2 linked regions of the Callithrix jacchus genome follow. The protein of the gene in region 2 binds, or shares a complex with, the protein of the main gene of each other region. Links are inferred from orthologs where the notes say so. Each region holds a gene or a part of one and is shown on either strand. Other genes may lie near its edges.

Region 1 (2,999 bases), on a different chromosome or scaffold from region 2:
TAGCACTTTAAAAACATCTGGCACACTTTTACGTAACATCTAAAGCCTGGCTCCACTCCCAGCCAACTGAATCAGAATCTCTGCAGGTGGGGCCTAGGCAATAAATTTTTTAAAAACTAGCCTCAAGTGACTCTAATGCATAAGAAGGATTGATAACTATTGCTTTAACTTTAGTTCAGTAGTTCTCAACCGACCTGTAATGTCAGCATTATCTGAAAATTTCTAAGAAATGCAAATTCTTGGGCTCCACCCTAGACCAAAGAAATCAGAAATTCTGGAAGTGGGACCCTTGAGCAATTTGCAATTTGTGCTGTAACAAGTCCTCCATATGACTCTGATGCTATTAAAGTTTGAGAACCATTGTTTCAGGAGTGTATAAAGTAGACCAATACACTAAAAATGCTTTTTACATTTTTAAATGCTAAAAAAAAAAAAAATATTATCTGACAGGTAAAAATTATTTCAAGATACTGAAATTTGAATTTTGTATAAAGTTTTATTAAAACACAGTCACCCCTCCTTGTTTGTACACTTGTTTGTACAAACAAGTGGCTTGTTTCTGTACTACAATAATAGAGACGAGGTGGATAATGGCAACAGGCCCACCAAATCTAGCATATTTACTATCTGGCTCTTTTCAGAAAACGTCTGATAACTCCTGCTCTAGAATGGAGTTATGGCTAGATTTGCAACCATTCATTTTCTATTTTTAATGGTCTGCCTTGATTACCAGTTGCCTGGAATACAAACACTAAAGTAAAAGGGCTTAATGTATATGGTTTTCTTATCATATAAAACAACATAACCTATTTAACTTTAAAAGTAAAGGATAAATTACAGTACTTACTTGCCATCTTTAAAATATGTTTTCAGAGTATCACTGAAACTTTTGGAGTACTTTACAAATTCTTTCTTTTGGTGTTCAAGTGCCTACAGACATGAAATATAATAAGAAAAACATACTAAGTAAGAGAAATAATCACAGAAGCCAAAGGCAAGGACAGGAGATTACACAGAATATGGGATGGTTTATATGAATATTACTAATAGGCAACAATTATTTATTAAATTATTATTAAATAATTGTTTAAATTATTTTTTAAATAAAAAGGCATATTTAAATTCAAGGATAAACTCAATGGTTAATGACACAAACCTATTTCCAATAATCAATCTTATTTTTAAATCAATAAAACTAGGCAGTCAACTAGGAAGGCTTCTACTAAACATACCCTGCGGTTCTGGTACTGATATTTCTTGAAGACATTATTCACTGTATCAAGAAGTTCTTTTATTGCACTAGCTATATCCCTGTTGGGAAAATAATAAAGATTATCAGCTACATTTGAAAGAAATTTGTGAAAGAAAAGAACATCAGCTATATTTGAAAGAAATTAAGTACACTCAATCTAATCACAGCACACAATTATCGTAAGTACAATCACTTCATCAAGAGCCAACCTCTTGGCTGGCTGGTTGAAGAGGGGGTTTTAGCATGTATCCCTCTGTAATCCTAATTCTCTTGCATCACCCACCAAGGCTGCCAACCAATACCAACTTTCTCCAATCAATCACATTTCATTCAGCATTCCCTACTCAAATTTATAAAAGGATAAACATTACCTATGCCTGTCTTTTCCCATTTTAAAATTTGTCTTTGCTCTAGCTAACGGAGCTAAATTCAAGCTATCATATTCTCTACTTTTGTTATTTGAACAATTAATAATGATTTTATTAAATTGTGCATTACGTATACATATAACTCAATTCTGTATTTAACAACACTGATGCTAGATAACTATTAGTTTTGATGTTTAACATAAAATAGTTCCTCCTCAGAAAAGATTCCTCTCCTCTAAGAAAATATTCCTCCTCCTTTACTCTTTCATAGACACTTTTAGGTTCCACCCAGCCACCAAATATCCTCCTCTTGCAAACACTTGCTGTCAGTCACTATTCCCTTGGAAAATATATTTAAATTACTGGGGGAGACAACATCACAATATTCTTCTACTTTAACCTTTCCAGAAATCATTCTTTGACCATATAAGCATCAACACCTTCCTCCCATTTCTAAAGAAAGAAAAAGAAGAAATCAGTAATTCTCATTTGAGTTGACTGCTCTTCCTATCCATGCACCATTTGTTCTGAACATTTTCTGACTTTATAGCTAGCCCCTTTCGATTTCCATTCTAACCTCATAGCATTTTTTTTTGTCAAACTGTAATGTAATTCTGCATTCTTAAATAGTCTCACATTCTCTAAAACTAACCTTCTTTTTCACTTCCATTCGCTTAGCTGTTAGTCACTACAAAAACCTGTTCAAATGGAACTGTGAAGAAATGAGTAAGATGTAAATCTGCCCCATCCTAAACATAACATTTTATTACTAACATTAATTACAAATGTCAGATTTAAGTTATTTCATATCGAAACATTTCAGCACTCTTATTTCAAGGAAAAAAACCTCAGTGTGCACATTTCTGTTTGCATGTGTTTCCCAGCATATTTTTCAGTAAATAAGCATGCAGAAACTTTAAGAATTAAAAGCATACAGAATTTTGATATAAACAAGTATTTTAGATTATTCTGAAGTAGTAATTACATTTTCATTAATTATTTCAATAACATTTTACTTATTACCTCTCTCAGGTCAAACACTCGTACTGGGCTGAAACTTGAAAACATTACGTATTCAAGTAGGACACTAAGTCTAAAATAAATGTTGTCTGTCCAATTTTTTTTTTTGCCTCTGGTTTAGTAACAGCAGTTTTTAATTAGATAACTATTCCTTCGTTTATGGCTTAAGCAAGTTAATCTTTATATACTGGTGTGATGGACATAAACCTACCACTGTTTAACAAAATGCTATCATAGGACTATTCTATGCAAGAAAAATTACAGTTTCAACAACAAAAAAATATTAACTCTAAAAATGTGCGAGTTTCTCCAAATCCGCAATGGAGTTATTTAAAATGGAATACAAGGGAACAAATTAC
Region 2 (3,686 bases):
TGACTGACCATCCTGGTTAGCCTGGAACTCTACTGGTTTTAGCATTTAAAGTCCTATGTATCAGGAAACCCTTCAGTCCAAGGGGAACTGGGATGGTTTGTCACCCTGCCCATAACTTCCAGAGGGTTAAGCGGCAGTGTGACCCGACCGTCTGCATTTAGTTCTGTCCTCACCTTGGGCTGCTTTCTGATCTCCCTTCCTAGATGCTGGTGGTGTTCAAGTCAGCCCCCATCCTGAAGCGGGCCCTCAAGGTGAAACAAGCCATGATGCAGCTCTATGTGCTGAAGTTGCTCAAGGTGCAGACCAAATACTTGGGGCGGCAGTGGCGAAAGAGCAACATGAAGACCATGTCTGCCATCTACCAGAAGGTGCGGCATCGGCTGAACGACGACTGGGCATACGGCAATGGTGAGGCTCTGCACTCAGCCAGGTTGGGATTGGGGTGTTTGGGAAAGGTGACATCTTTCAGTCCCTGCCCGTGGTACTCAGGCACTTCTCTGCCCTGAGCTTCCCACCGAGGAGCAGGAAGGAGCCCAGCTCCTGCTTTTGCTGCCTCAGGACAGGCACTCTAGGAAGGACGTTGGGAAGCTACCCAGGCTTGGCATCTCTGATCATGCCCCATCTCTCCCTGTCCCTCCCAGTCATTCATTTTCTAGAAATTGTTTAAAGACTTTGTCCCCTCTTTTCACCCCCATTTTGGCTACCTAAACTCTTATAGTATAGTTCCAGACTGACTTCCCTTCCTCCAGTTCCTTCCCCTCCATCAGTGTCTCAGATTTCCCTAGTGATTCTTTTTTACTTTAATTTTTTATTTTAAAGATAGGGTCTCGCTCTCTTGCCCAGCCTGGAGTGTGATCTCGGCTCACCACAACCTCTGCCTCCTGGGCTAAAGTGATCCTTCTGCCTTAGCATCCCAAGTAGCTGGGACTACAGGCACTTGCCACTATGCCCAGCTAATTGTATCTTTTTTGTAGAGATAGGGTTTCACTATGTTGCCCAGGGTGGACTTTTTTTTTTTTTTAGATAGAGATTCTGTCGCCCAGGCTCTCAGCTCACTGCATCCTCCATCGCCCAAGTTTAAGCGATTCTCCCACCTCAACCTTTCAAGTAGCTGGGACTACAATTGGATGCCACCTCATCCAGCTAATTTTTGGATTTGTTGTAGAGACAGGGTTTCACCATGTTGGCCGGGCTGGTCTCAAGTTCCTGGTCTCAAGTGATCCACCCGCCTTGGCCTCCCAAAGTGCTGGGATTATAGGCATGAGCCACTGCGCCTTCTCAGGGTGGTCTTGAACTCCTGGGTTCAAGGGATCCATCAGCCTTGGCCTCCCAAAGGGTTGGGATTATAGGCATGAGCCACTGCACCTGGCCCCCTAGTGAATCTTTTCAACATGCAGATCCTGTGCTGTTACTGCCCTGAGTAAAATCCTTCATTAGCTTCCTATTTCCCTTAGAATTAGACTCAAACTCTTAGGCAGGGCATGTGAGGCTCACTCGTCCTTTTTCATTCTCCTCCTCTGCAATCTGACCCAGCTTCCTTTTCAACCTTGTTCCCTGCTGTCAGCCCAGCCTCCATCATACCCAGGGCAACAGGCACAAGGAGTGCTTGGTCCTGGCACATGAGCCATGTGGCTCCCACTGCCAGGCTCTGCAGGCACTCTTCCTTCTGTCCGCAGTACCTCCCCTGCCCACCTGGGCTGCTCTGTGTGTGTGTTGCTGCGTTGTTGTGTACCTGGAATATAGCACCATGGCTAAATGACTGTGTCTGTACTCCCAATGCCCTATGAATGTGTGCAGGCCCATGGTGGCACGCAGTACCTGGTCAGGGAGTTGGGAGAGAACGAGCAAATGAGAGTATTGCCAGGCTTCCTGCCTTTGACCCCAGAGAGCCAGGGAGAATGCCACTTAGACAGAAACGTATTGAATACATGGCTCTCCCTCTCTGGGTCTACATAATCCGTACAGTATAAGCCTCTTTCTCAGTACCTCTGTCTTTTCTGCTTATCCTTGACTCTCCTTTGGATCTAGGAGGGAATTCCTGTCATCTTTCTGAGGATGAACTCGGAGGTGTCCTGCTCCTAGTTGACACTCAACATTCCTAGCCAGGCCCCTGAGCTGCAGTGAATCCATGGGGAGCTGCCACAGGGCTTGGCTCCTAACTGTGTTCTTCCTGCTTTGTCTCAGATCTTGATGCCCGGCCTTGGGACTTCCAGGCAGAGGAGTGTGCCCTCCGTGCCAACATTGAACGCTTCAATGCCCGGCGCTATGACCGGGCCCACAGCAACCCTGACTTCCTGCCAGTGGACAACTGCCTGCAGAGTGTCCTGGGCCAACGGGTGGACCTCCCTGAGGACTTTCAGATGAACTATGACTTGTGGTTAGAAAGGGAGGTCTTCTCCAAGCCCATTTCCTGGGAAGAGCTGCTGCAGTGAGGCTGTTGGTTAGGAGACTGAAACTGAAAGAAAGGATGATCTCAAGGTACTTGCAGTACTGTCCTAGTTCATTGCTGCAGAGCTCCCACTCCCCTCCAGGTGGCAGCACAGCCCCACTGTGTCCTCCACAGTCTCTTCTGGGCTTTGGTGAGCCCAGCTTGACCTCCCCGTTAGTTCCCAGGGTCCTGCTCAGAAGCAGTCATCTCTGCCTGGGATCCATTCTTTCTTTACTTCCTCCACCCTCCTCTCTTGGACATGGTTGACTTTGGCTCATTTCACAATCAGCCCAAGGCTGGGAAAGCTGGAATGGGATGGGAACCCCTCTGCAGTGCATCTGAATTTCAGGGGTCAAGCTGACGCCTCCCGAGACAGACAAATCCTTGCTTTGTCAGCTTGCAAAGGAGGAGGGTTTAGGATTAGGGCCAGGGCCAGAAAGTCAGTATCTTGGTTGTGCTCTGGAGTGGGGGTGGGGGGTTTCTGATGTCATTCCAGCCTCCTGCTACATTATATCCAGAAGTAATCGCAGAGGTTCCTGCAGCTGCCTCAGCACTTTGATTTTGGACAGGGATGAGATAGGAAGAGAAGCTTCCCTTAACCAGAGGGGCCATTTTTCCTTTTTGCTTTTGATGGCTTGTAAATATCTATATATAATTCCGTGTATATTCTCCTGTGTCATGTTGGGGTTTTTAATGTGTTTGTGTATTCTGTTTACATTAAAAAGAAGCAAAATAATTCCCCTTGGCTTGTCTGCAGGAAATATGGCCTCTTTTTATCTCCTCCAGGTCTAGAAAGTGTCTTTTTTCCTTCAGTATTGCTGGTCACCGCTTGTCTTTGCCAAGCTCCCCGCCACTCCCATCCTGGGGGAAGAGGAAGGGGGGGTTGGCATTTATCCAGTGTAAGTTAACTCCACAGTAATCTGGGATTGCTCTCGCCCAACTCCAGAGCACTAGGTTACTCTATTGATGAATTGTCCTGCACCCCTGGGTTTGCTGGAATTTCAGTAGGAGCCCCGGGTTTCTCTGGATCCCATCCCTGAGCTAGCCTCAGCCAAACCAGTGTCAGTGCTAGGGAGGGAGGGACTAGGTGAAAGCAAGAGGATCAGCTGCTCTAGGCCCTCCCTGGGGTAGGTGGTTGGGACTGATCGGAAACTTAAGTGTTGGAGCCTAGGAAGCAGACCATCAGGAGTCAGGGCATGGTAGGAAACAGAGTTGGAGGGCCGAGGACCCCACTGTGGGCGAGAGAAAAGCAAGGAGA

The links. The genes of interacting proteins can lie anywhere in the genome.
Region 1: STRIP1 (region 2) and PDCD10 share a complex: the UniProt entries of both Homo sapiens proteins name them as parts of the core of STRIPAK complex. The link is inferred for Callithrix jacchus from reciprocal best matches to the Homo sapiens genes STRIP1 and PDCD10.

What each region holds. Positions count from the first base shown.
Region 1 is NC_133518.1:19,357,093-19,360,091, reverse strand, and holds part of PDCD10 (programmed cell death protein 10), read right to left. Parts: intron 1,312-2,999; coding exon 1,233-1,311; intron 931-1,232; coding exon 848-930; intron 1-847. UniProt on the Homo sapiens protein: Promotes cell proliferation. Modulates apoptotic pathways. Increases mitogen-activated protein kinase activity and STK26 activity. Important for cell migration, and for normal structure and assembly of the Golgi complex.
Region 2 is NC_133508.1:147,906,148-147,909,833, forward strand, and holds the end of STRIP1 (striatin-interacting protein 1), read left to right. Parts: intron 1-203; coding exon 204-408; intron 409-2,184; coding exon 2,185-2,432; 3' UTR 2,433-3,164; downstream 3,165-3,686. UniProt on the Homo sapiens protein: Plays a role in the regulation of cell morphology and cytoskeletal organization. Required in the cortical actin filament dynamics and cell shape. Part of the striatin-interacting phosphatase and kinase (STRIPAK) complexes.